Linked DNA regions of Kluyveromyces lactis. The protein of the gene in region 3 purifies or fractionates together with the protein of the main gene of each other region. This does not show direct contact. Links are inferred from orthologs where the notes say so. Each region holds a gene or a part of one and is shown on either strand. Other genes may lie near its edges.

The links.
Region 1: the proteins of UTP7 (region 3) and BMS1 purify together in Saccharomyces cerevisiae (affinity purification with mass spectrometry; 5 studies listed by BioGRID). This does not show direct contact. The link is inferred for Kluyveromyces lactis from reciprocal best matches to the Saccharomyces cerevisiae genes UTP7 and BMS1.
Region 2: the proteins of UTP7 (region 3) and UTP4 purify together in Saccharomyces cerevisiae (affinity purification with mass spectrometry; 5 studies listed by BioGRID). This does not show direct contact. The link is inferred for Kluyveromyces lactis from reciprocal best matches to the Saccharomyces cerevisiae genes UTP7 and UTP4.
Region 4: the proteins of UTP7 (region 3) and KRE33 purify together in Saccharomyces cerevisiae (affinity purification with mass spectrometry; 6 studies listed by BioGRID). This does not show direct contact. The link is inferred for Kluyveromyces lactis from reciprocal best matches to the Saccharomyces cerevisiae genes UTP7 and KRE33.
Region 5: the proteins of UTP7 (region 3) and DIP2 purify together in Saccharomyces cerevisiae (affinity purification with mass spectrometry; 4 studies listed by BioGRID). This does not show direct contact. The link is inferred for Kluyveromyces lactis from reciprocal best matches to the Saccharomyces cerevisiae genes UTP7 and DIP2.
Region 6: the proteins of UTP7 (region 3) and MPP10 purify together in Saccharomyces cerevisiae (affinity purification with mass spectrometry; 7 studies listed by BioGRID, with this or other methods). This does not show direct contact. The link is inferred for Kluyveromyces lactis from reciprocal best matches to the Saccharomyces cerevisiae genes UTP7 and MPP10.
Region 7: the proteins of UTP7 (region 3) and UTP15 purify together in Saccharomyces cerevisiae (affinity purification with mass spectrometry; 4 studies listed by BioGRID). This does not show direct contact. The link is inferred for Kluyveromyces lactis from reciprocal best matches to the Saccharomyces cerevisiae genes UTP7 and UTP15.

The regions. Positions count from the first base shown.
Region 1 is NC_006038.1:180,099-184,447, reverse strand, and holds the start of BMS1 (GTPase BMS1), read left to right. Parts: upstream 1-1,451; coding exon 1,452-4,349. Other genes in the region: KLLA0_B02090g (uncharacterized protein), read right to left, coding at 1-730. UniProt on the Saccharomyces cerevisiae protein: GTPase required for synthesis of 40S ribosomal subunits and for processing the 35S pre-rRNA at sites A0, A1, and A2.
Region 2 is NC_006040.1:1,131,541-1,135,866, forward strand, and holds UTP4 (small subunit rRNA maturation protein UTP4), read right to left. Parts: upstream 2,738-4,326; coding exon 527-2,737; downstream 1-526. Other genes in the region: KLLA0_D13200g (uncharacterized protein), read left to right, coding at 1-444; condensin subunit YCG1, read left to right, coding at 2,977-4,326. UniProt on the Saccharomyces cerevisiae protein: Involved in nucleolar processing of pre-18S ribosomal RNA. Required for optimal pre-ribosomal RNA transcription by RNA polymerase I together with a subset of U3 proteins required for transcription (t-UTPs).
Region 3 is NC_006039.1:803,872-807,782, reverse strand, and holds UTP7 (Utp7p), read right to left. Parts: upstream 2,272-3,911; coding exon 595-2,271; downstream 1-594. Other genes in the region: proteasome regulatory particle base subunit RPN2, read left to right, coding at 1-406; KLLA0_C09240g (dihydroorotate dehydrogenase 2), read left to right, coding at 3,000-3,911. UniProt on the Saccharomyces cerevisiae protein: Involved in nucleolar processing of pre-18S ribosomal RNA.
Region 4 is NC_006042.1:2,271,971-2,276,300, forward strand, and holds the start of KRE33 (ribosome biosynthesis protein KRE33), read right to left. Parts: upstream 2,907-4,330; coding exon 1-2,906. Other genes in the region: transcription factor NDT80, read left to right, coding at 3,766-4,330. UniProt on the Saccharomyces cerevisiae protein: RNA cytidine acetyltransferase with specificity toward both 18S rRNA and tRNAs. Catalyzes the formation of N(4)-acetylcytidine (ac4C) at positions 1280 and 1773 in 18S rRNA.
Region 5 is NC_006040.1:1,377,442-1,381,771, reverse strand, and holds DIP2 (snoRNA-binding rRNA-processing protein DIP2), read right to left. Parts: upstream 2,889-4,330; coding exon 78-2,888; downstream 1-77. Other genes in the region: TAF12 (Taf12p), read right to left, coding at 3,308-4,330. UniProt on the Saccharomyces cerevisiae protein: Involved in nucleolar processing of pre-18S ribosomal RNA.
Region 6 is NC_006040.1:821,750-825,811, forward strand, and holds MPP10 (rRNA-processing protein MPP10), read right to left. Parts: upstream 2,377-4,062; coding exon 550-2,376; downstream 1-549. Other genes in the region: NOC3 (Noc3p), read left to right, coding at 1-450; AVT1 (Avt1p), read right to left, coding at 2,769-4,062. UniProt on the Saccharomyces cerevisiae protein: Involved in nucleolar processing of pre-18S ribosomal RNA. Required for the early cleavages at sites A0, A1 and A2 during 18S ribosomal pre-RNA processing.
Region 7 is NC_006042.1:1,275,020-1,278,650, reverse strand, and holds UTP15 (snoRNA-binding rRNA-processing protein UTP15), read right to left. Parts: upstream 2,120-3,631; coding exon 557-2,119; downstream 1-556. Other genes in the region: SLD2 (Sld2p), read left to right, coding at 1-407; AIP1 (Aip1p), read left to right, coding at 2,679-3,631. UniProt on the Saccharomyces cerevisiae protein: Involved in nucleolar processing of pre-18S ribosomal RNA. Required for optimal pre-ribosomal RNA transcription by RNA polymerase I together with a subset of U3 proteins required for transcription (t-UTPs).

The DNA.
Region 1 (4,349 bases), on a different chromosome or scaffold from region 3:
AGGTTAAATTATAGATGGGCAAATATTCATCTTTCACACACCATGGGGCACCCATCTTAGTTGAAGCACGACGCAACGTTATCTTACAGAAACATTTAATCAAATGCTTAGTGAAACATGATCTATCACGATAAATCTGATCCTCATCGGCAACGATTGAAGTACTACCTTGTGCTTCCTGTAACATATATTTTGCATGGGCAGGAACCAATTCTTGCCTTGTATCTCTATCTATAACTGCATTAAACTGAGCCTTTTCTTTGATAATGTAAATTTTTTGATGCTGTGATCCATGTGAGTGCTGATGATGTTTTTCAGCATCGTCATGTGAGGAATCTTGCTTACTTTTCCGTAGGTATACCGTTTCTCCAGGGAAATAGTCGTTTTTAAATCTTGCATATACCTGTTCGACGAGCATATCTAGCCTTCTAATCTCGTTGAAATGGATGAATTTTGCAACAGGTTCACGTAATTTTAAAGGGAACATTTTCTCAACGTATTGGAACTGCTCTTCTTCACTGTTCAACGCTTCAAAAAAAGTTAAACATGATGTACCAGTGATCTCACAGGTGAAATAATGTCGCCTATAAAAATCCAATCGTTGCAAAAACTCTGCATAAGTCAAAAACCATTCCCCTGTCTCTTGAATGTACCATATTTTCCTATTGATATTTGACGGTAATGGCCTAGCATCTGGCAACGTTATCGTTTTCCTTTTATACAAAACCATTGCTCACACTGTGTATTCTATCCAAAAAATAAAAAGCTCAACAAGGAAACACACACCACTGAAGACTCTGTTATCCTAGCTTTCCTGCTTCAACTCAGTAAAAATTACACGCACACAGATTGGAAAGAATAAGAACAGTATGTGTTTTCTATGACCAAAAGATGTTGTCTCGTATCCACAACAATATAACTGGTGTAGAACGTACAGTTCTTGTTGTGAAATCCAAATCACCACACAAACGAACTAAAGATAAAAAACACAACAACTTTTAGGGAAACGAATGAAACAAACGACTTTTATTCGGAATCCAACCGTTGATTCATTGACCTTTGTTCTATCCTGTTCTGTTTGTGCATTTGATTGGATTTCGATTTCATTTTGATGTTCGAATTTCGATGAACGCTTTTTTTTCCATATGCCCTTGGGCCCTAGTTACTACGGCAGAGACATGTAGGAATATCTACAAAACTGACAGAATACCTTAAATTCTTAAAAATCAGATCACGTGCAGAATCACGTGATTAGATATCGACAAGGTTCAGATCATTTCTTTTTCTTACCCTGCATGAAAAATTGCATGAAGAAGCTCAACCATCTCATCTCATCTCATCGGTGAACATAAAAGATTCTAGTATCTTGAATTGAATCAAAAGGGTCACTTTAGGCCAGTTAGTTCGAATCACATTGCCTGAATACATCTTAAGACTCTCAAGCTTCAGCAATGGAACAATCGAATAAAGAACATAGGAAGCGGAAGGAGAAGGCTGGTGCCAAGAAGAAGTTACATTCTCAGGGCCACAATGCTAAGGCCTTTGCTGTCTCCGCTCCGGGGAAAATGGCTAAGCAGATGCAACGTACGGGTGATAAGAATGAGAAGAAGTTGCATGTTCCGATGGTGGATCGTACCCCAGATGATGATCCTCCTCCGATCATTATTGCTGTTGTTGGTCCTCCAGGTACCGGTAAGACTACTTTGATCAAATCGTTAGTGAGAAGGTTGACAAAGACCACTTTATCCGAAATTAACGGTCCTATTACTGTTGTTTCTGGTAAGCGTAGAAGGCTGACTTTTATCGAATGTCCTGCGGATGATTTGAATTCCATGATCGATATTTCAAAAGTGGCCGATTTGGTGCTTTTGATGATGGATGGTAATTTCGGGTTTGAAATGGAGACCATGGAATTCTTGAATTTGGCTCAACATCATGGTATGCCTCGTGTACTAGGTGTCGCTACACATTTGGATCTTTTCAAATCCCAGTCAACATTGCGTGCCTCTAAGAAATCTTTGAAACATAGGTTCTGGACCGAAGTGTATCAGGGTGCCAAGCTTTTCTACCTTTCTGGTGTTATTAACGGTCGTTATCCAGATAGAGAGATTTTGAACTTGTCAAGGTTTATAAGTGTTATGAAGTTCAGACCTTTGCAATGGAGAAACGAACATCCTTATTTATTGGCCGATAGAATATCCGATTTAACTCATCCAGAACTCTTACAATCGAAGGGTATGCATATAGATCGTAAAGTCGCCATCTATGGTTATTTACACGGTACTCCGTTACCTTCGACTCCAGGCTACAGGGTCCATATCGCCGGTGTAGGTGACTACCAGATCGATCACGTTGAGAAATTGCCTGATCCTTGTCCGACACCTTATTACCAACAGAAATTAGATGAATTTGAACGTGAACGTGCTAAGGAAGAAGGTTCCACATCAGCAACGACTGTAAGAAGACGTAAAAGATTGGATGATAAACAAAAGCTGATCTATGCTCCAATGTCTGACGTTGGTGGTTTACTTATGGATAAGGATGCCGTGTTCATTGATGTTGGCGGTAAGACAGGTCCAAACTCAATGACTGCAGAGGAAAAAGATGAAAGTGACAAGATCGTGTCCAACCTACAGGCTACATCTCGTTCCATTGATGAAAAATTCGAGAATGTTGGATTGCAGCTTTTCTCAAATAGTACTGAGTTACATGCTATTGAAGATCAGGATGAAGAAGTTGAAGAAGACACCGAAGACGAGGATGATGTTGATAGAGGAAACGTTGGTAGATCTTCCTTAAGAAAGGCAAGAGTATACGGCAAATCCCTTCAGGAATCTAACGCAGATCTCGATAATTTATCAAGTGACAACGAAAACTATAATGAAGATGATGACGAAGATGAAGCACATCGCACTAAATTAGTTGAAATTGATTTTGATGACGAAAAACCTGAAAACATGGCCTTTGAGACAGATTCAGAATTGGATGCATCTGATTCTGAAGGTTGGGAAAGAACCACAGCTGGTAAATTGAATGGTACAAAGAATAAAAGAAGAAAGTGGGATATCAGCAAACTTATCTACATGGACAACATTGCTCCAGCTGATGCAATCAAAAGATGGAACGGCGAGGCCGACGAAACTGAAGTTGAAGAAGATCTAGAAGACGATGAAGATACTGAATTCTTCACCCAAAAGACAAATACTACACCGAATAAGGCAGTAACTTACCACGATGATCTTGAAAGATTTATTCCTTATTTTGATACATTCAATGACCTTGTTGAAAGATGGTCAACTGCCGATTCAATCAAAGACAGATTTGTTGGAAAGCCATCCTTAAACACCAAGTCTTCTGATGATGTAAAGGATGAAGACGATGATGAAGATGAAGTATACGGTGATTTTGAGGACTTAGAAGCTGAGCCTGAAAACACAGATGAGAAGGAGGAGAATTCTGCTGCAGGAGATGAAGAATCTGATAGCAACGAATCGTTCGCTGATTTCGAAGAAGAAGAAAAGAAGGATTTGACCCAGGATGAAGAGCGTGAATTGAATGCCGCAAAAAAAGAGAAATTAAGGTTACAATTCGAAATGGAAGAAGGAGACAACTTTGGAGAAGACCCTGAAAATGAATACGATACCTGGTACGAATTACAGAAGGCTAAGATTGCTAAACAATTAGAAATCAATAAAGCCGAACTGGAATCTATGACTCCTGAACAAAGGCAACAAATCGAAGGTATGAAAGCTGGGTCTTATGTTCGTATTGTCTTCGATAAGGTTCCTATGGAATTCATCGAAAATTTCAACCCAAAGTATCCAGTAATTATGGGAGGTCTTCTTCCCACAGAATTGAAGTTCGGAATTATTAATGCAAGAGTCAGAAGACATCGTTGGCACAAAAAGATTCTCAAGACAAATGATCCTTTAGTTTTATCTCTTGGTTGGAGACGTTTCCAAACTCTACCAATATACACCACTAGTGACTCTAGAACCAGGACTAGAATGTTGAAGTATACTCCAGAACATGCTTATTGTACAGCTTCTTTCTATGGTCCCTTGTGCTCGCCAAATACCACTTTCTGTGGTGTTCAAATAGTTGCTAACAGTGATACAACTGGAAGTTTCAGAATAGCTGCGACTGGTATTGTAGAGGAGATCGATGCAAGCGTAGAAATTGTGAAGAAATTAAAGCTTGTTGGTTATCCTTACAAAATCTTCAAGAACACTGCCTTCATAAAGGATATGTTCTCTAGCGCTATGGAAGTTGCACGGTTCGAAGGTGCCCAAATCAAGACTGTTTCCGGTATTCGTGGTGAAATCAAGCGTGCTCTATCAAAACCAGAA
Region 2 (4,326 bases), on a different chromosome or scaffold from region 3:
ATGGATTCGTTAATCAAACAGATATCCTTGATATTGTCCATCTCGTTGTTCGTGTGCTCTCTTTCTACTGTCACTACGACAATCTCTTATCTTTTGACATTACTGCCTGTCAAACTACAATTATTAGCGTTATCTGCAATGCAGAGTACCAATGGCTCTGAGCTTCCTACGAGCAATAAGGATGCATTCTATACCAAGAAACCCCCTTCGATCATCAAAAACCTCGCTGTGTGTGAGTTGACAGGTGTGTACATCCTTGCCACTATCTTGATGATTCGCTCCAATTTACCATATGATGTCTCAAAACAGGTCAATCAACTCTTGGGTGAGAAATTCACTATTCCTGATGTTGTAATCGACGTCTGGTCTGATAAAATGTTCGCTTGCAGTTCGCTCTTGACATTCATTGGTATTAAGGTAGCAGAAAGAACACTACACAGATGATATGCGGCGGAATGATGACCCTATGTTAAAAATCAATTTCGCGATGAAGATCGAGTTTATAATAATGTACAGAAATTATAAATTAGAATACTAACTTTTCTAATTCAAATGCAGGAGGTTGGGAGATCAAGAAGTTTGGTCTTTCCACAATGATTAATTGGTCACTTGCGATCTTTCCAGCGAATAATAGAGGTCTATACTTATCGGTATAGAAAAACGCCTTATCAGATCTCTTCTTGGAGGTGACATCTTGCGCTCTCTGAGTTTTTAAGAGATAATCTTCCTTAACTTCGAGTTCTTCATCGTCTTCATCATCCTCATCGACGTCTGCCTGTAGACCGTCAGTGGAAATAGTTAATCCGTCACGGTCACGCTTCTTTTGCTTCTTTCTTTTGCTAACTGGCAAGTCTAATGACATGTTGATGTTAACCAACCAGTTAGATCCCCAGAACCATACCTTATGCTCATCCATTTCATCTAAGAATATTCCTGTGCATCTCTCTTTCAAGGAAGTAAATTGCCTTGGGAGGTTTTCATGATTGGCTTTGAACCAGTCAGTGAGTAGTTGATCCTTCTCGGATTCCAAATTGAACTCGTATATTTTATTTTCTGATGTCACTACTACTACAGTCTCTCTTGGTGTGATGCACAGTGCAGTGATGAAGTTGTTCATGCGAATTAAAGCTTTACTACTGTTTGTTGTCAAATCTATTAAGTCTAGAGCACCGGTACCTCTAGACGCAACAGCGTAACGTTCATTTGCATCTAAATGGTTCACTGCATTCAAATATGATAGTTTATTGCTGGATTTCGTTGAGTTCGCTTCAGGTAACTCAATAGTTACGGTTTTTTCGTCGTCATCCTCTTCAAGGTCAATTCTAACTATTTCATCAGATTGTGAACACATTATTAACCTAGAATCATCAATGAACTTAGCAAATTTGCAACCAGTTCTCAACAAAAACTCATTGTCCAACTTTGTTACTTTCAATTTGTTGTCTGTTGGTTGTAAATGGAAAACTTTGGTAGTATTTAGTCTTCCCACTAATAAAACTTGTCCGTCAGTTGATAGTGCACAGGTTTGGATGTTTTGTTCATCCTTCAAAACCAATTTACTAACTAATTTGTAGTTCTTAGGCTCATTGACGTCTTCGCCAATATACCATATCTTCACGATATTATCCTGCCACATCACCAATAGTCTTTGTTGTTTGTTGACCAGGATGCTCTTATGGAATGGGGTAACTAGTGGCATCTTTCTATAATTTCCTTCAGCGAAAGAGGACATTGAGCACATGACAAGAGACTTTTCAATACCACCAGACACTAGGAAGTCGGATCCCATACATTGATAAGAGGACATAGATCTAACATCATTGGAATGGAATAATCTGTTTGAAGTACTGATCCATTTCATGCTCTTTCCTGTATCGATGTAAGAGAATTGGAAAATCTTTCTATCAACACCACTAGTGAACAATTGTGAATTATCCAGATCAGTAGCCAGACATAGAACATCGGCATCATGAACCTTGAAAGATTGAGTCAATGTTGCGTAGTTTAAGTCCCAGAATTTGACCGACCCAGTAGAATCACCAGACACAATTTGGTTCTGTTTAGCTAGATACAACACAGACCATACGAGTGTAGATTCTTTCTTCGATTTATCCACTTTCATAGTATGTAATAGTCTTCCCTTGTTTTCGTCTTGCTCCTTAGTATACCATATTCTAATCCTTCCATCAGAACAACCAGCGACCAAAGATTCATCATTGGCTGTCCATGTCAACGATAAGACACGAGATTCTTGCCTTGTAAGTATGCTCTCATGCTCAAGAACACCTTTACCACCACTGATGTTAATAAGTACTACACTGCCGTTATCACATCCGACCGCTAGCTTATTCATATCGTTGCTCATTGCAATGGACCAAATCACACCAGAGTTACAATCGTAATTTACTAACGGCAACCCGGTTGTCAAATCCCATTCTGTAACTACAGTGGAGCCACCGATCGAAAATAGTCTCAAAGGCTCTCCACGAATACTGCACCAGGAAAGACCTTCAATGGATCTTCCTTCACCTCCCAAGATCACGAACTCTTGTACCCAATCATCTCTTGGATTCCAGATCTCAATATTACCATTGGATCTACCAATAGCCAGTCTTAGCTCTTGCGGTGCCGCTTTATCAGTACTTTTGTGTGAAAATGCAAGAGCCGTTATATTACCAGGTGTAAACTGCACAAACCTGGATCGATGCACTACCTGTTTCTTCCCAGTATCAGTCATGATCAAATGTGTTCTATAAATTGAGGACCTTAAACCTGTATCAGAGAACAAAAGCTAATGTATTAGAATGAAACAAAAGATTGACAAACTGTAGGCTGATGTCAATCAAAAAACTTCACTGACTAGATAGAAATATACGACTTTGTTATCCGATGAGATGAGCTTCTGTTCTAAGCTTGTGTGCTCTTAACGCTGAAATTTTTCAAAAAGAAACTAGTTTAGCTTCAACACCGTACAGTATGATCATATCACGTGATATATTAGATCTATTGGGAAAACGAGATTTGTTTACAATTGGATCTTCTCTTCACATAAACAAACTAATAAACAAAGAGGAAAAGGAAAGTGGAAGAAACATCGGCGGCAACCTCATAGCAGCCTTTCCCTGGTGTATACTCGTGGTATTATTGACCAAAAGGGTGCAATTGTTTGATATGGATGTTCAGGATGGAGAATCTCCTACAAATCGTCGTGTTCTGAATTCTATAGCGGAGGTTTTCCAGGTGGCGCAGAAGAGTTATGCTGGTCACAGACGTCATGTAGCTGTCTTATACAGGATTTATTTGAAATGTGTGGAGCAAGAGATATCAGATGTGTTTCATTATTGGTTTATCAAAATGACTGTCAAAATCTTGCCGCTGAAGAAACAGGAAATCGTGGGGGATCGCATTGTTCGGTTGATTTCAGGGTTCATCGCAAATATAGAGTCGAATCTTAACAAGATGAGAACCGAAGATGGTAATGAGCAAAATGTGAGGAATTTGGAAGTACATTTCGGAGGATTTATTGATGGATTTGTGAGGAATCTGCTTCGAGGAGTGGAATCGAAAAATAAAAACGTACGATACAGAGTAATGCAACTTTTGGCCGCAACTATGGATAATATGGGAGAAATTGATGAGGAATTGTACGAGTTGATTATGTGGGTTTTGAAGCATAGGGTGTATGACAAGGAACCTCATGTTAGGATACAGGCGATATTTTGTTTGACAAAATTTCAAAACGATAACGTATCGATGATTAATGAATCAGAAACCGGAGTAAATTTCCAACTCGATGAAGCTACACAGAGTTTAATGCATATCATTAGGAATGATCCAAGTCCAGAAGTTCGGAGGGCAGCAATGTTGAATATTGTACGTTCGAAAGCGACCCAGAATGTTATCTTGGAACGGGTACGAGATGTTAATTTCATCAATAGAAGATTGGTGTTTACAAGAGTACTAAAGAGTTTGGGGAAGCATACGTTCGATGAGGTGGATTCTGATATTTTAGAGAAACTGATGACCTGGGGGTTTGAAGATAGAGATGAAACGGTTAGAAATTCTTGTAAAAAATTAGTTGCCTTCACCTGGTTGAACATCCTGGACGGTGACATCATCGATTTATTGGAGAACATTGACGTTGTGAACTCTACATATGCAGAACAAGCACTCTATGCACTATTTGAACAGAGGCCCGATGTTATAGAAAAAGTCAAATTCCCAAAAGAAGTCTGGGAAACTTTTACCGTCGAAACTGTTTTCTTATTAAAATGTTTCTTCTTCCATTGTTTGAACTGTAATCTGGTTACCATCATAGAAGAGAAT
Region 3 (3,911 bases):
CGCCAAGGCCAAGGCAAGAGCTAAGAAAGGTAAAAAAGGAGAACATGAAAAGGTTAAAGAAAAGGATGCAGAAAAAGTAAATGAAGAAAAGCAAGAGGTGGAACTGGAGGAAAAAAAGAAGGAAGAGGCCAAGAATACTGAAGAAGCTAAGATCAAATACACGACAACGAGCTATGATGTTGAAAACCTCACCCGTGTGCTTCCGCAGCAACTCAAATTCATATCTTTTGCGAAAGATAGCCGTTTTGTACCTGTTCGCAAATTCAGAGGAAACTCAGGTGTCATTATCGTTGAGGATAAGACACCTGAAGAACCACTAGAATTAATCAAGACCGTAAGACAAACAAAAGATATATATGCCCCATTACCATCTTCATTTAAAGTCGAGGATTCTCTTGAATTTTAATCGAGAAATTAGGTCCTAGCAATAGCGGTCATCCTTCATAATGTACAGTAAATAATCACCTCAAACTAAGTCGTATCTATATGCAAATAATTCAAACATGTTTTTGCAACAGTCGATACTAAGCCGGCTATAATAACAGATTATATAAGTGTTCATGTAAGTATACATATTGATAACTACTTGATGATTCAAGAAAATCTTGATAAGGCTTCATCAACAAGGTCTTTGTGATCATCAGCAAGTTCACCCTTCTTAATTTTTTCTTTTCTTTGGCGGCTAGACTTTTCCTTCTCTAGTTGTCTTTGTACCCTTAACTTCCTTTCATCCACAACATTACGAGTTTTCTTTCGTAGGAACGCACGTAATCCGGAGTTCTTACCTTTAACATCAGGTCTGGCATCAGGAATGTCTTTGTTTAGTTTGGATTTTTCTTGCTCTGCATTCGAGATAATTGCAAGATCCTTTGCATTTAATCTGACTTGAGAAGCACGAGAATCTACTGTACCTATTGTGTTTGGATTTAATGTTATAGAATCAGCAGGTAACTTATTCAATAATGATCTCACTTCTTGTTCCTGTCTCTGTTTGCTTGTTTCGTATGGGTTGGCCTCTAGTGCGTCGTAGTTGGCTTCCCCTGCGCCTGGAATAATCAAATTGGTTATACCCTTTTGATGTCCAACACCTAGCAAATCTTCGAATGGCGCAAACTGGAAGTTCTCTATTTTATTTCCAGCGAATAAATGAGACATATACGGAGTATTTCTATCTTTGTAACCGCTAGAGGTGAAATACGGTCTAGCAGCTTTCCCACTTTTCAACGTATCTTTCCAAATTGTTACATGAGGCCCTCTTGATACTGCAAGTAGACCTGTATCTGAAATTGCAACGTTAGTACCGGGCGTAGGCATGTTCTCAATACTATGTACTTCTTTAAAGTTTCTGATATCCCAAATCTTTAAAGATTTATCGGAACCAGTGGTGGCCATATAATAACCTTGTCTATCTACAGCAATTCCTGTTATTGATCCTCTAGATGATAATAGTCTTACCAGTGGTGATGGCATTGATGGTGACCATAGAGTGACTGTGCCGTTGCTATGTCCCAAATGCATTACTGCATTCCAAGGGTTCTGAGCCATCGCTGTAGTAGGACCTAGTTTAGTTCTGATCTCTGATACTAGTTGACCTGTCGAAACATCTTGATATTTCAAAAAACCTGTTTGTCCTGCTGTTGCCAAGAGATAATGATATGGTAAATATTCTAAATGTTTGACCTCTATGTGCTGCTTTAAACGATGCAGCTCTACACCTTCATGATCGTAAATGAACGTGTATTTTTTTTGTGCTACTGCAAAGAACTGTTCATTTTGCAAATATGTTGCTGCTTGCACTGTCTCCCCGAGATTTAGCTCACCACGAAGTTCACCTTTCCTCCAATCAAGAGATGCTACATGGCCCTTCCGACCTGCAATAAGCATATGCGTACCATTTCTGGAATAATTTACACGGTACGGACCAAAATCGTTTAATTTCAAGTCCAATGCCTTATTGGCCATGGAGGCGTCAACATGGTGTTTGATTTCAGCCTGTGTGAACTTGAACGTCTTTTCCATCTCATCTTCTGCTTCTAAATAACCATGCTCTTCGGGTAAAAGATATTCTGTAGCAGCAGTAGAGAGTACCGCTTCCTTATACTTCTGATCAATACGCTTCAATCCTGCCTTTAACTTCTTATCCTTGGTTTTCTTCTGCATCTTGTGAGACCCGTTGGCATCATCATCGTTATTCGATCTCTCAAATTTGTCCTGATTGTCTCTCCGTTGTAGGTCACTATACTGTGACTTACTACCTTTCTTAGCAACCATTATTGAATATTGATTCGGCTTCTCGTGAAGTGATACCTGATATCAGAAGATGTAGCAGTAAACTTGCAGAACCTTATATTGTGAAGCTCATCTCATCTCATCGTTTCTTAAAATTTTCGATATTGGATACTCGAGAAAAAAAGAAAAAATCCTTAAGTTGAGCTGAAGAATGATAGACATTACCAAGTAAGAATTGTATATGACTGATAAATAGATCAATCGGCGCATAGTACATGCCCAAAACGTGGGGAAATTCAGTTATAAATACCAAACCCAATGAGTCCAAACGATTTCTAACCAAAATAGCAATCATTTCTTCTTGAAAGAGTAGTTAAGAGTAGTTCCCTGAGTATTTTTCACTTGATCTGCATCCTGTAGTACCGGTGTAAAGTAGTATACTACCTTCTATGCATCTAGACATATGATAGGTATCTAAAAGAAATTAAATCAAAGTACAAATTAATATGCAATGGTGACCTCTGAGCTAATTGCACCAGGCATCTGCTAGTCACATACTTTTGTTCCTCACAGATGTGTTTCCGGAAAACACTCCGTCGAGTCTTAACTGAAAAATGAAATGAAAATGAAGAACTTGAACTAATGTTTTGGTCCTCCCGCAATGAATAGAGAGCTAGATCGTGTATCGTTGTTCTTTTCTCTTGTTATACAAGATTGGAATAGGCAAGTAGAGGTCACTCCGAATACCGCGTATTTTGCTTTTATCAACTATGAATAGTGGGTTCCCACGTATTTTGAGCAAGAAACTTTTTACGCTAAATCAATCGCAGTTCTTTGTCAAGAATGGCATGGTCCCATTGAAAGCAGGCATTTCTGGCCCTAAGCTTTTGAAGTACACTGTTGGGATAGCCATTGGTTCATTTGCGGGATTCTATTTCTCCAATTCGAGGTCTGCTTTCCATGAGTACGTCTTGTGCCCGATGTTGAGACTTGTAACGCCAGATGCTGAAGATGGGCATAAATTAGGTATCTGGTTCTTGAAGAATGGGTTGGCTCCAAGATTATGGTTCGATAACGATGATAAGGTATTGAATGTGAACATTTTTGGTAAGAAATTGACCAATCCAATTGGTTGTGCTGCCGGTTTGGATAAAAATGGTGATGCCATCGACGGTATACTTTCCGGAGGATTCGGTTATATAGAGATTGGTTCTGTGACTCCATTACCACAACCAGGAAACCCAAGACCTAGATTCTTTAGATTACCTTTGGATGATGCTGTTATCAACAGATACGGTTTCAATTCATCCGGCCATGACACCGTTGTCAACACATTACAATCCCGTATTACCAGTTTCATCAACAGTTACATGTTTAAGGACAATTCCGTTGAAAACTTGTCCTTATACAAAGACAAATTGTTGGGGGTCAATTTGGGTAAGAATAAGACCGGTGATGAAGTGCAAGATTATTTGAAAGGTGTAGAAAGCTTTCAAAAGTACGCAGATGTTCTAGTAATTAATGTGTCTTCTCCAAATACCCCGGGTTTGAGAAGTTTACAAAAAGAATCCATCCTTACTGATCTATTGACCCAAGTCGTTGCCAAGAGAGACTCATTGGTTACATCTGGTAATGCATTAGGTGCTAAGACACACAAACCTCCTGTATTGGTTAAAGTTGCC
Region 4 (4,330 bases), on a different chromosome or scaffold from region 3:
AGGTCATCTTCCATTTTGTCAATGACTTCGGCAGCATTGTAAGACAACACTTCTTCGCCATTCATTTCGGCAATTTCTTGGTCCTTGATTTGAGGTAAGGTTTTTTCAATAGACTCGCTTAAAACTTCCCTGAAGAAATTGGTGAATTTCCTGATAATCTTGGAGAACATGGCAATAGTTTGATTGGATGGTAAGTTCAACTCTTTCGTTATGTCATCAATGCCCTTGTGTTGCAAACCAATTGCAAGTAGTATACACGATTGTACGCTTGATAATGATACACCGTCACCCAGCTTTCCACTAAAGTATAGCAATGCCATCATTGGTAGAAGATCAACAATGACATGATAATCCAGTAAGTTGTTAGCATAGCTTTCTAACCTCTTTAGATCGAATGGAGAAAAGATGGAATCCAATTGGTCCCTTGTTAAAACCTTATTCTGGAACGATCTGCCCTCCGAGTCTTGGTCTAGTGTTTCACCCTTCTTAGCAGATTCAATGACATTTAACGCTTCGATGGCAGTGAATTTCTTAAAGTCGAACGATAATAAAGACAAGAATCTTTTATGGAAATCTTTGGCAAATTCTGCCAGCCATTTTGATTCACGACCTTCAAGAACTTTAACCATAACACATGTATGTTCACCAGTCAAATCATTCGCTGTTTGACGTAAGTAAACTGGGACAAATCCGTTGTTTTTCCAGAACTTATGTAAAGATTTTGTTAAACCATATGAAACACCTAAGTAATGCAAAAAGTGAGGGGTTTGTTCTGAGAGTTTCAGAAGCAATGGTGGCAACGTCTTTGCATCCCTTAATTTGATTTCATCTTTCAAGAGGTCTGCTTTCTTCAAATCCCTGTCATCGACTCTCTTGATTGTGTAGTCCTTTTGTACCGTATCTTCATTCAAATCGGTGAATTTACCTTCGAAATGATCTTTCAATAACTCCAGAGCCCTAGACCCATAACCCATAGAGGCGTATTCCGGATTGGTTGCAATCCTAACAACACGGGCACCACTCAAACCGGCAAATTCTTCATCTTGAAATTGCTGTGAGATTAGCCATGGAATTAAGTCACCACCAGCTCTTTGACCTCTTGCCAAAGAATTTCTGACAGAATCCTTCGAGATCTCACCTTCCAATGCGACCTGGATGACCACTAAGGGATCAGGTATTCTGCCGCCATCTTTTGGATCGATGGGAGGCAATAAAACGAATAGTTGATGAGCAGGTGCATCACTCATTAATTGCAAGTCGTTAGGAGAATTCTTGTAATGCGATGCGACATAAAGAGCCATCATCTTCTCCAGAAAATTTTCAGAAACAGGATGATAAGAAAATAGAGTATCTCTATTGACGATGAATAAATTACATTGAGATGGATGAGGTGTGCCTCTAGCAGCAAATCTTGGATTTTTGATTAGTTGAACGTCCAAACAAAGTAATTTATTCAACCATTTTTCAACTGGGTCACCAGGAGCGTATCTGATAGGTTCATCTAAGACAACTTCTCTCAAAGAACGGCCACTTGTTTGAACTTCTTGTTTCTTTGAATCTCTGGAAACAAGTGCTGTTTCGGAATCTTCACGGCCAGTACCGTTGGATTGAGTTCTTAGCTGTTGAATCAATTTCAAAGACAAAGATCTACCGGTACCTTCATAACCGTTAATAGTGGATGCCATAAACACTAAGTACGGACCCAAAAGCTTCTTTACAAGTGGTAGTGGAATTGCGGCAGCTTCATCAATGACAACAAGTTCTGCCTGTCCCAACACATGAGAATCATTTGGAATAATATATTGAATGGTCTGTCTATGTTCTCTCTTGATGTCTACTCTGACTATGGCTTTGTTGAAGCTTGGATTGGTGGACTGAATGATATCATAATCAATGTGCTCCTGATAGCCTAGAGCGTCAAATCCTTTGAAAATAAACTCAAATAAAGTCTTCAAATTCTCAGGGGAAGGAGATGTTACAAAGATATTGGAGTAACCATGGGATACAGCAGCAGCAATAGAAATACCTAGAGCAGCTGATTTACCTCTACCTCTACCTGCCGTCAATGCTACAGTTGAATTTAAAGTTTTCTCTGAAATGGCATCAATGAAGGTCAAGATTGCATGAGCTTGATTAACCGTTTTTGAAAGAGCAACTAATGATCCCGCAGGCTGAACATCTTCTAAAGACACTTTCAATTCTTTTAGTTCTTGATTTTTTGGTGAAATTTCTTCATCATCCTTTGGTGGAAGTGGTTTTACGTTTTTTCCTCCAGATATAGGTAAAACGTTTAACTCACTATCTACTACCAAACAGTTTTCATTCGAACCCAAGGACAAGATAAATCTTTCGTTGAATCTTGCCACGACATCGTCATGAGCTTCCGTTCTATAACGAGAGTGGATATCCATAGTCATAGTGTATAACTGTTTTAGAGAGGAAATGGACTTTAACATGATAACAATGATACCACCACCTTCAACGGTTTCGATGGTTCTTGCTAGCAAATTTGGAGTCAAAGCTTCAAAATCTTGTAGGATACACATACCATAAGTGTTACCCAAAATTTTTTCAGTTTCCTTATAATAACAGTATCGAATGTTTTGGTTAGAGATGAAAGTTTCAAAAGGATCTTGTTCATTTATCTCTCTGGTACCTCTCTTGATCTCTTTCTTAATCTTTGCTTCTCTCTTCTTCCTGTGTGAAGTGAAACCCAAGAGTTTCTTCTTATACGTCCATAACACGGATTTATTCATTTTGAGGTCAGCACTCATCATTAAATAGTGCAAGTTCGGTAGCTGGTTACGAGCATTGTCACCAACGATAACGAAAAATGATCTCTGATTTGTTTGAACACCATTTCTGATGAGAGCTGGGATACGAGAATCAATAGCTTTTTTACCCATCGTAATCTAACTTCTGGTTTAAAGTTTTAAGAACACACTCTTTAACAACAAACAATGACAGTTACGTTTCGCTGGAAGTTCGACCGTTGGGAAGAGTTAGTGTTTTTAATGATTTTTTTTGTAGTAACGAAGTACAGTAATCAGGTATTTTGGGGAGAAATAAACGTCTCGTAATACTCAGATAGCTTCTCAGCAAACCACCTCATCTCATTTGATCTCATCTCATCTCGAAATAAAATTCCTACCTAATACGATGAAATAGTAAAAAGACAATGAAAAAAAAAAAAAAAAATTAGGCAGAGAAAAGAAAAGATACTACTTACCCGGAATTATTTGATGAAAATATACTGTTACCCGCATGAATTTCATGCGCAGTGTAATTTCGGCGGCTAATTTCAAGAAATGACTACGTGTGCATAATGCACCATTATGTGATGTCGACTAATATTTTAAATTCATATTTAAACTTCAGTAGTAGTTTTCATGGGTATTAATTAAAGTTTTCTTCATGACTGACGAAAAGGGAAAAACTAACATTATATAAATACCAGTATTTTTGTGTCACAAGGAATAAGGGCAATATTCTTATGAAATAGATCCGATGAATAAGATAAGAGGTTAAGAACTGACATCAGAACGAGGTTCGATTATAAGGTTGTTTCTTTACCTGAACAAGCGCAGTTGTGGTTATCTCTTATACGGAACGTACGATTCCTAGGTTTTATTTTGGTTTTATTTTTTCGTGGTCATTCAGGTAAGCTCGGCGGTTATTCCATAGCAATAGCCAGGAGGAGAGTGAGAGCTAACTATATTTTCTTTTAATAGGAACAGAGTATAGTTTTATGTGATCAAACTTGCTATGATGGAGGATTTGGACCATCTGAACGATGAGAATATCAATATAGATGAGAACGAATTTTTGGAAACACTTGATAATGCTGACGGGGACGTGATCAAAACTTTTAGGAACGCTGACGGGTCATTAAGTAGTCATTTTGACAAGAGAAAAGTTCGTATTGCTCCAAGGTCAACATTGCAGTTCAAAATAGGCCCAGGCTTTACGCCAGTGGTGCCCAATCACAAGATATTGAACGATTTTGGACAGATTCAAGAAATCAAATTGGAGCCTCGGATTGATCGAGGGTTTGATTTCATAGATGACGATTGGATTGGTTATAAAAGAAATTATTTCACCGTGGTAACTTCATTTGACACACCGGGGACTGATCATATCGAGTTCATGAAACAAGCGTATCATTTAGATAACGGTGTGGAGATCAAATACTTCGCTACCAAATTAGCCGCCAAGTGTTTGGAAGATGATAAATTGATTAACCTAGTTCAACACACTGCAAAGCGAGATAAAGGCCCTCAATTTGCTCCTCCAATACATGTTATTGCACCTGCAAATTTGCCGAAGCACC
Region 5 (4,330 bases), on a different chromosome or scaffold from region 3:
TAACTTGATATTTACATACCTTGAGACAGGTTATATATTTAATAAGATGCATACGGTTTTAATTTATGGACGTAAATCTAGCGAACAGTTTCGAAAACTCTCTTCTTTGCAACCTTTTTCTCATGCTCTAACTGCGAATAGTCATCAGTGAACTCCAAGTTATGTCTTAAGTTCCATTGCTGTTTGATGAAGTTAAGACCGGCGATGTTAAACCCAAGATCGTCTGCATTTTTTTGCAACATTGTTCTGATGTTGGTCTTCACTCTTTCAATTCTCTGTTTCAATTCTTCATTCTTTTGAGCGACTAATTCCTTATTGTTCGTGCGAACTATAAAGAATAGGATTTTACAAATGAGACTTAGATGTAACAACACTAAATCTTTTTGCTTCATTATCACATCAAAGAATTTGAAGAATTTGATAACATATGAGAATGGGAGCACAAGTAAAGAATCTTCGAGTTGTGATGGTTTAATTTTCCCTAGTGTGTCCATGATGTATTTTTCCGGTTTTATTTTCATGGCAATTAAGATGGCGTTACTTTGAGGTTTCATTGGTGGTTCACCACTTTTCTTCTTTTTCCATGACTTAAGAGATTTTTCGTAATTTTCCCAGGATTCGATCTCGGCTACACCTAAGTCTAGAGCTTCCATTAACTTTTCACCTGCTTTTAAAGACTCAAGAGTTTGCTTATTAACACCACTAACCTCATCAATCACTCCGTCATCTCCACTGTTTTTGTCCCTAAGGAACTGATCGTCTCCTGATCCACCTTCTAATGATTTCAATAGTGTTTCTTCATACTCTTCTTCCATCTCTCTTTCTTTCTCTTCTTCTAAGAATACCTGATCGTCAGTTTCTTGCCATACTCTAATACTATGATCATGAGAAGTAGACACAACGGTTCTTCCATCTGGTGACACTGCAATACACCACACTTCACTTTGGTGACCATTGAGCTTTTGAATACAGTCAAATTTGTCACCATCCCATCTCTTGACAGCACCATCCTTACCACAACTGAAGAAATTATGAGTGTCGGCTTCGAATCTTACTGACATGATAGAATCTTGATGAGCAAATATGGACTTGTGACAGTCACCAAAGTCAACACCCCAGATCTTGATGTTCTTATCTGCTGATGAAGTAATTAACATCTTGGAATCTACAGAAAAATCAATAGAAAGTACAGGTAGTTTGTGACCATAAAGACTTAAGTAGAACTTCAAAGAATCGAAAAAGAATACTTTCACAGTATTGTCTAGTAATGAAACGGCTAAGTATCTATCTTCTGATGATATCTTAACAGCCAAAATATCATCAGTTAGTTCCAAAGTCGTATCGTGGACTAATTTAAGTTGAGGAATGTATTTATCCTTTGTGCCTGGGACCAATTGTTCAACAACCTCGAAATCCCAAAATTTACAACTTTTGTCCGCTGAACCAGTGACCAGTCTTTTACCATTGCTAGTCAAATCTAATGACCAGATTGCTGCCGTATGTGCTTCTGTAGTAGATAGTAATGTAGAACTAGCCAAATCAAATAGCTGAAGTTCACCTTGTCTTGTACCCACAACCACCAATAATCCACCAGGTAGCATCTGGGAACACAACGCATAACCACAGGAAAAGGTACGGATACATTTCTTTGTAGTTAGATTCCATACTTTCAATTCTCCGTTAGATGCTGTACTCAATAGTTTCCCATCATCACTGATGTCCATAGATCTGATATCAGTTCTATGACCTTGTAATTCGACGTTATACCTTCTCACTGGTGGTTCTGCATCTCTTTTACTGTATGGAATTTGATAACTTTCAATGGTATTGTTAGAAGTTGTGAGAACCACTTCCAACTTGCTATTACTTGCTTGAATCCAGTTGGAGGATTTAATTTTGTAACTTGAGCGTACCGTGGAGAACGAATGGAATAAAACGCTGATATCATTTGGGTTAACCGCCTCCTGAATTTCCTCTTCAGAGGCCCCCTTATCCCTTAGCCTCTTTTCACGTCTATTAAGAGCTTTCCTGATCTCTTCTTCCGGTCTGATACGGAAGATTTCTATTGTCTTGTCGTTATTCTGGATATAGAAAAACCTGGTACCGTTTGGTGCTGTGATAAATTCAGTGGAAACACCTCTTTGCTTACTTTCGGTCTCGAAAGTACCACGTTCTGAAATTTTTTCTCCATTACTCTTCTCTAAATCTAATTCCCATATCTTGGCCTGTGAATCCATCGAGGTGGTTATTATGACTTCCTCATCGATTGCCATCGACCAACATTGACCAGTATGCGCCATATGCGTCTCAACACACTGACCACCAGCCTTAAGATCCCATACCTTGATAAGACCATCCTTGGCCACACTAATAAGCCAGTCCATATTATGGTCTATCCAGATACCAGTAATGGCATCTTTATGTGATCTGAGTTTCATCAAACCAACTTCACCGACTAAATCCCAAATGATCAAATCACTGTCTTTACTACCAGAAACTAATCTAGTACCCTCGGAATCCAATCTCAACACGGTAACACCACTCTTGTGTCCGTTAAACTGCATCAATACACTTTTAGAAAGCAGATCCCACACTTTAATCACACCATCTTCGTAACCAACACATAACAACTCTGTTTCCTTGTGGAAACACATCGCAGTTACTACTGAAGGTTTAGAAATATTAGTCTCTACTGCACCGATAGGTAGCCCATCAGTAAGTACTTCCACCTCATTAGTTTTCAATGTCCATATTTGAATATTCTCCAGAGCACCTGTAATTAGCTTGCCAGACGTTGAGTTCGTAGCTGGAAGATAGATCGACTGATTTGAAGTAGAAATTAACCCAAAAAGACCACTTTGTTCAAAACGTTGATACGATTTAACCATTGTGTATCAATTTAAACTCCACACTGCGGATAATAGTAGCAATAACTGATATCTTACACAGGGTTATAGTATATAAGTTTTGTTATACTTGTTCTTGAACAGCATTATGCGATGAGATGAGATGACCTTCCATAGTTTTTAACGTTTTGGAAAATTTTGAAAAATACAACTTGAAGCCATGAAAAAGAAAAGGGTGGTTTATACATATATGAGACAGGCAGAATAGGACAAAGAGTATTAAGAATCAGTTTCCCTGGACTTGATTATGCATTGTTGTAGGTACTCATCCACTTCTCCATTTTCAATATTTTGAGGAATTGTTACATTAATAGATATATGATATATGATGTATAATATATGCATCAAATTAAGTCTGTTTGAATGAATGAACTTGTTTAAACAGTGGTAATTTATCCATTTCACTTCTTTTCGGGATGTGTACGTGCAGTTTTATTGTTATTGATTGCATTTACCATTTGATTGTACGAAGGGGTTGGATTCCATTTCTTGGTGCTACGGATTTCATCGTTGGCAAACCCTGGGATTCTGATATTCCAATTACGTTCCAGATGCATTTGGATGTCTCTTACGTCGAGTGAATCGGATTTTCTATGTTTTGCCAATTTACAGGCGAAATTCGTAACATTAGTAATGAAATCGTCTGCTAGATCGAGTAATAGCTCTTCCACATCACCATCAATGGTGGTTTCACCATCACCTTCGTCTATACCCACCGTTTTGACGAGTTCACGGAGCTTTCTTTTAGACATCACACGCTCAGTATCGACCTCATATGGCGGTAGTTTGGTCATAACAGGTGTAGTTAGCGCTGGCGCGTTCATACCACTACCGCCTGTTATCGTAGGTCTGTTGCTTCTGTATGACACTGAAACTGTTGGGGATGCGGTGACATTTTCACTTATTGGTATCGATGGGTTTGGTTGCTTGAAGATTGGTGGTCTTGTATTGCTTTGTGCTGTTTGATTTGCAGCTGCATTCACCGTTGTCACCTGCATTGGGGACGATTTGTCAGAAGCTGTGTTATTTGGTGCGGCAGCTGCTGAGCTCGGGTTTGCGTTTGTTGCAGTTGCAGTAGTTGCAGCGGTCTTTTGAATTGGTATATTTTGTCTTTGCGCCATAGCATTTGGAGGACTACCACTCGAAGCTTTATTCAAACTTGTTGGAATTGGTGTACCGGTGTTGGTTCCTGGAGTAGAAACACCAGCCTGAGGTCCCGGTGTACCTGCATTTGCAGCTACTGTACCCTGTGACTTAGCAGCATTAGCTTTTTGTTGCTGTGCTTGTAGATATCTTCTTAAGTCAGCATTAGTTTGAGAACACTCAATGTAAAACTTTCTTCTGTCCTCTTGATATTTCTGTTGTAATGTCGAATACTGGGCACTCAATGCCCTGATTTTCATTAATAATTCATTCCTGTTAAC
Region 6 (4,062 bases), on a different chromosome or scaffold from region 3:
GATATTGAATTCTCACACAAATCGCTAAGGTTGGCCGACCCCTTGAATAATGAACTCGTCAAACCATCAGTTAACGTATCAACAAAAGCAGAGTTATTGTTGAAAGCCCTTGATCATGTCTTTTTCAGATCAAAATCTGGCACTAAACAAAGAGCTGCTGCGTTCACAAAGAGAATTTACATGGCTTTGCTGCACACTCCAGAAAAAACATCAATTGCACTGCTGAAGTTTTTGGATAAACTAACTACCAAATATCCAGAAGTACTGGGTTTATACTCTACAGACGATAGAATTGGAAATGGGGAGTTCCGCATCGACACAGACTTACCAAGTAGAAGTAATGCAGAAGCAGCAACTATATGGGAAAATAGCCTTCTTGTCAAGCATTACAGTCCTTCTGTTGTAAAAGGTGTAAGATCATTATTCCATAAATCTCAAGAACATAAATAGTTTGGGGGATAAAAAGATAATTAAGAATTCTCTTATTTACCACCTTCATTTCAATGCAATTGCATTAATTATAGTAATATATACTTACTGTAACAGTGTCTATAACTTGAAATTGATGTTACCAGATGCATTATCCTTCTTTATATTACCCTTAACATCAGTTTTGGCACCCTTTTTATCGATAACGGTTATGTTCTTGGATTTAGTCAAGGTATTAAGAACATCATCCGTCTTACTCTTCTTTCTAGGTTGTTCGGCTCTTTTCGCAGATAGCTTCGATCTCTTTCTCTTAGCAGCTCTACGGAGTCTGTTTTTATCCTCTCTGGACAGTTCATCTCTGGACATCACCACACCATTCTTCAAAGTTATTTCATTAGAGTTCTCTGATTTACCAACTTTGTAGATTTCCTGAGGAGCTAATGTGGAACCACTTGACATTGTTAGTGGTTGTGCATCTTCCATAGAAATAGCGGCGGTTTGCACTCTTACTTCAAGATCTTTCTTTATCGGCTTAGGTATGAAGTGGGCTGACGATAATGCATCTAGTTTGTAAACCAAATCTTTATATAGCTCTGAAATTTCATCGTGACTTTTCTGTAATTCTTCTGATATTTCAGTATCCTCGGTAACACCTTTGAAATCATCTTCATAAATTTCAGCTAGTGATTTTGATGACTTTACATCACTTAGTTCGAATCTTGGTTTATTATTGTAGCCTGAAATATCGCTGATAACCCTCCTCTGTAGATCGTTAAAATCTTCTTCCTTGATCCTTCTACGGATCATATTCTCGAGAGTTTCTGTTACCTCAGCTGTTATAACTGGCACAGGTTTGGCAGTTCTTTCGAACTCAAGATCTTCCGTTAACAAGGCATCTTCTGGCCTATCGCGAGCTTTTACTTCACCTTTTAACGCCCATTTCTTCTCAGCAACAGCTTCCTTTTCGAGGGATTCTATTTGTCTTTTTAGCTCAAGTTGTTGACGTTCAAAGGTAGATAATGGTTGTTCAGCAGTTTCTTCATCTGATCCCTGAAAATCATCGTCTTCGTCAGCAAAAAGATCTAACTTAGCTTCCTCCATTGCATCATCATACTCGCTTTCGTCAAAGGATTCATCCTCTTCGGCCTCTGCTTTCTTTGAAGGTCCTGGCCGCCTGTCCTGGGAAGATTTTTTATTAGATGGCTTATCAAAGAAATCGTCGTAATATAGAGCTTCTTCATCTTCCTCCGATGGAACATCTGCGAAATAATCAACTTCTTCGTCATCCTCATCTTCTTCATCTGCATCTTGGCTTCTATTCTCAGCCTCAAGTGTTTGTCTATTGAATTCATCTAGATTGAAAAATTGATCGTTTACACCAAACTTGTCTTCGATCGCTTGTGGACTTTCTTGTGCTTCTACAAATTGATCATCAGGTTCCGAATCACTTTCGTTTTCCAATTTATCTTCTTCCTTCTCATGTAATTCTAAAGGTTCTGGTTCTGAGAACTGTTGTTCTTCATCTAAAACGAGCTCTTCATTTTCTGCTTCTTCCTCCTCCTCTTCAATAGCAGACTCTTCAGAAACTGGAGCTTCGTCTGCAGACATTTCATTGGAATTTTCAACATTAGAGGCATCATCTTCGTCTCCGCTGCTTTCCTCGCTCATATCATTCTCATTATCAACCTTCAGTTCGGCGATTTTTTCCATGATATCACCTTGAACATTATCTAAAATGATTTTTGACTGCCACCATACCTGGTTAGCATCTAGCCCATCAACCACTATCTCATCTAATGTTGTCTTTGAATTTCCATTGTTTTTATTCAGATTGATGACTTCGTCAAAGTAAGTCTTCACTGCCGATAGTGGTTCCTTGGACTCCAGAGCATCCTGGGAAAGAAGTCCAACAGGATTAGTTTTCAAAATTTCCAAAAACTGACTCATGTTGTGTTATGTGTGGGTCAGTGAAACGTTACCTATTTACTGGTGTAGCTGTAGTGGATGTATCGATACGATCAAGCTGCTACTATAGACGCATATTTCGTACATGCTGAGTGATGCGATGAGATGAGTTTTCATCAATTTTTCAGGTATCCAAAAATTTGAAAAAGAAAAAAATGATGGGAACTGTCGCCAATGCGGGTAAGAAGAGAGATAATAGACACAGTTGTGAGGCATTGGTTGGGTGATGAATACTAGACAGAAGTACATATGGGTGAAAAGTCATTATATGAAGTGTGATTCCCTTAGTTTGGGTGCTAAAATTTTGCATAAAGACACGTAGATGCATATACAAGAATGAGGTGCTGGCAAATTCAACAGCATTTGTAGGTAATTCATGAGGTGAAGGAGGCGTATACTCCAAGAGTGGATAATACTGCACTAATTAATATCGTAATATTACACGCTATCAATTCCCAAGATTTAATGGTTTTGTAGCAAATTCTTTTGTAGAACAAACATGGCAGAATGAAACAAATCATGAAACAAAGTGCAGCACCCAAGAATGCAATTATTTTGTCAAATTCAGGGAATAAAATAGCAATAATCACGAACATAACATTCACCATGATTCTGTTAAATATTCTGGTTGCCTTTGCGAAAAAAACCTTCGATGCTGGTTTAGTTTCATCGATGTGCACTACGTTAAACATTGAATCAAAGATGGAGACAATCGGTCTTGCATTAAGTGGTGTTTTGGCAAGTGGAATCAGTGAAAGAAGAGTTGAAATTAGGCCATAAACAAAAGGCGGGTATCCTGGAGTCAATAACACACTTCTTGTCACTTCATTCATAACAAGATTACCGAACATTAAAAATCCAACGACAGCAATTCCGATATCAGTAACAATGGTGATGCTATAAGTGGTCTTCAAACAACGAGTAAACTTCTCCGGATGCCTCATATCACTCTTTAAGTTGGGAAAGACTGCGTGACCTCCCCAGCATGCACTCAATAACCCTAAGGAAAGACAAAACTCCTTGAATGAATTGGGCCACATCGATGTGGCTTCTGGTTGCAATAATGACCCTGGTGAATATTGTTTTAGCAACCCACAGAAAACTACTAACAATGCAGTTCCAATAGTCGAGATAATACCCAACAAAGAGATATTTGATAAAACACTTAATGGCAAAAATATTGGAGGAGTAACTGCAAAAAAAGCGACGAATTTGAAGAAGTTGACCGAATATTCTGGGAACAACGCGTTCAATGAATCACCGAACAAAATGATCAAGGCTACACCACATGCTAATAAATCCATAGCAAATAGGAACGAGATCAATGCACGACCTTTTGGACCAAAAGCTGCATATGCCAAATCTCCGTAAGTCGAAATGGATGGATCTGCATCCAAACATCTTGAAATTAACTGAGCGCTACAAAAAGTAGCAAATGCAAAAATGAATAAGATTGGAACACCTAATACCCATCCTGCATATCTAAGACCCAATGGTAATGCTAATAGTCCGATACCGATTAGCACGTTGATTGAGTTGAAAATTGTCTGAGGTGCGGTCGATTGACCAGCGATGACAGTGATCACTTTTCCAGCCTTCGTCTCAACTTGTTTCAAAATGATTGCATCTGCTTCTGGACCAACGGCATTGCCCGAATCATCGAAGCTG
Region 7 (3,631 bases), on a different chromosome or scaffold from region 3:
CGCTTATGGAAAAGCTGATGCAGGAAGAACATATGGATATAATTGAAGAGGGGGACGAGGGAACTGTCGGCAATGAAACTGAGAGCAATTATGTGCGGAAAGTTAAAACCATAAAGAAAAGAACAAAAGCGAAGATGAGACCAGCAGCATTAAACGAGAAGTCGACCAACATTCCAGACAAAAATGTTCATGAACAGCTAGCAAAGTTGAAGGAACGTGAGTACAATAAAATGCTGGGTAAAGAAGTGGAAGAAAGTGAGTCTGACTCTGAACAACAATCCAATCCACCCGTAAAGAAGAAGCAACGTAAGAGTAAATACAACCTTGTTAGCAACAACTTCAAGCGTTTGAATCTTCCAACAAAGGCAGGAAGAAACAGAGCCAGTAAATGGAGAGGAAGAAGGTGATTTCTTCAAAGTCAGAACGTTAAAAACAAAGAAACAGACGTAACGAACGGGATGATACAGTTGTTGCAGTCTATGTACTATAAATGTAAATAAATATAATCTTTTACACGCATTCCTTTTTGTTATAGATCAGTGTAGAAAGGATTTTATCAGTTTGTTAACAATTGGAGCATACCCTCTATCTTTTGTGCTTCTTTTGCTTTGCGGATCTCTTCCCTTACTCTTTTCTTTAGAGTGATTACCATCTCTTCAAGTACTGGGGACTTCTCCAGTACACTACCGTAGAGTTCAATTACAACCGCAATCCAGTCTGCAACAATTGGTGCACTTCTAACATCTTCTATTCCCTTCAAGCACCAGTTGAGTAGTGGTTCTAGAGAACTTTCGTCTCTACCGTATAATGCAACCTTGATTTTACCTCTTTTCCTTAGTTCTTGTAATACCGTTAAAGTTAATTCTTTAGCCATACCGGGGATAAATGCAGAATCTAATGCGTCAGACCATTTGAATTGGTTGATATGCCTTTCGAATTGACGCAACTTACGCTGAGGATTTGGCTTATCGTTGTGTATAATATGCTCTTGATCACCTCTGTATTCGGACCCTCTCATCATTCTCTGGAAATTGTTGGATTTCGCAGACTTCTCTTGCTGTTGTAATGGTAAATCCTCCAAATCAGAGACATCAGCGAGGTTAATCTTTTTGGACTTCTTCTTCGTCTTGATGGCTAGAATTCCTGAGGATAAACCTGCAACGAAATGTTTATTACCTTGCGCATCGCCTGGTGAGACTGCACAACTTAGCACAGCGTTGCTAAACTTCCAGCCAAACTTGAATTGGAAGTTCTCCAACGGGGAAAAGATCTTAACATGACCATCAAGCGAGGATGCAACTAGTACGGAACTCATTGGTGATTCTTCTCCCATATTTGTGTAATTCAAACAGGTGACCGTCTTTGCGAAATTTTGACGTTCACAAAGGGCTCTATCGCTAGTCAAGTCCCATACTTTGAACCCGTTACCACCACACGATGCAAGCTGAGTAGGAGATATGGCTGTGATATCTTCCACAGGAAGACCGTGATCCAAAGTTGTCTGTGGTTTATCTGATTTCGTTCTAATATCGTACAATCTAACTACTCCATCGTACGACCCTGTAGCGACCATATGTGGAGCATTTGGCACAAAGCAGACTGATCTAACATAATCAGATGCTCCAGTTAACTGTAAAGTGGGTTCATAAGCATGAGAAACATCCCATAGTCTCACTACTCTATCGTCGTTTGCCGTCACCAAAGTCTTGTTATCCTGATCGTGAAACTTCGTCACATGCGTAGGATGCGACGAAGCTTGTATAGAAAGCAACAAAGTACGTGGATTATAACTATCATAAACGGACACTAACCCAGTAGCGTCACCTGCTACTAAAAGTTTACCGTCTTGACGGAAAGTGGCCGAATGCACCACATCTTTAAACCTAGAAAACGTCTTGATCACTTGTCTTGTCCTTGACGAGAAGACCTGTACCCTAGTAGAAGAGGTAACTGCAAAATCATGTGGATGCTGGGGATTGAAGGCAATATGAGTCACTGCATTGTGCTCTTTAACAAGCTGAGTAGATGAATAAGACCTCCAGTACCTCTGCTCTGGGGTGGTCTGCTTTGGTAACACAGGAGCCTTTACCGGCGTCACTCTAGGTCTCACAGACGACATTTTCTTCACAATATTTCTACCAATCTGATCGCCTGAATCACCTCTATCACTTAACAGTAGTCTGACGATACCAAACCGACTGATATAACTCGCAAATTACAGGGAAATCTATTTTATCAACCATGCGATGAGCTAAGGCTTCAATCATTTTTTTTTTCCAAAATCTGGTTTCTTTTCTTTGAAGACTCGAAGAATCTCGTTGATTGTGATTTTTCAGAGAAGAATAACCGTTCACTGTACTTTACAAGCAGATAAAGGGCCTTTAAGGCCCTTTATCTGCTTTTAACCTGGTTTCCCAGATTTTCTTGATTCCCAGGTATTCAGCAATACCACTTTCATTATACTAACTGGTATTTAGGATATCTTTTCTTTGTATTTCTGCATCCCAGTAGTTATTATTTCGTCTATTTACATTCCATATGTATGGAATTTATTTATACTCACCAGTTTATCAAGAAACTAAACCATGAGAACAGGACACGTTTGAGTCAGGAAGAGGTCTTTCTGGTGCGTTTACAGAGTGTTCCAAAAGTCAATTGATCTAGTATCTCGCGATAATATGGTTTCGATTAATTTAGCAAAGGTTTTTGCACCTCTCCCTTCTACAAAGAGAAACTTTACGACACATTTATCATATGATCCAAAGACTGACAGTTTAGCTTATGGTAGCGGTAGATCTGCCATCATTAGATCTTTAGATGGTGAACATGTCGTTCAATTCAATGGCCATGGTACCAGTAATGTCACTGTTGTAAAATTTTCTCCTATCCAGGGGTCTCAATATGTTGCTTCAGGAGATGATTCCGGTAGAGTTATCGTTTGGTCTTGGAATCAGGACGATAAGTCTGGAGAAATTGAGTACAACGTTAAGTCGGAACTACATGTGCTCGCTGGTCCTGTCGCTGATATATCCTGGGATTTTGAGGGTAAAAGATTGGCTGTTGTTGGTGAAGGTCGTGATAGGTTTGGTGCGTTTGTCTCTTGGGACTCGGGCAACTCGTTAGGTGAAGTCTCGGGTCACTCTCAAAGAGTCAATGCAGTTCATTTCAAGCAAAGCAGACCAATGAGAGCTTTCAGTGTCAGTGATGATGGTTCTGTTGTGTTTTACCAGGGTCCACCTTTCAAGTTTGCAAGCAGTGATAGAACGCATCACGGCCAAGGTAAATTCGTTAGAGACGTCAAGTTCTCTCCAGGTGCAGGGAAATATGCTGTGTCTGTCGGTAGCGATCGTAAGATATGTTGCTTTGATGGTAAGACTGGTGAATTTATCAAATACATTGAGTCTGAAAAGGCTCCAATTGGCGGTGGTTTGTTTGCTGTCGCATGGTTAGACGATGGTGAAGAGTCTTCTAGAGTTGTTACCGTGGGTGCTGATTGCACTGCAAGGTTGTGGGATGTGTCGTTGGATGATCCATTCCAACAGTCTTGGAAATTAGGTGCAGATGTTTCGAATCAAATTGTCGGTGTTGTTGTCACTAAGGATAACTCCATCGTAACATTGACGCTTGATGG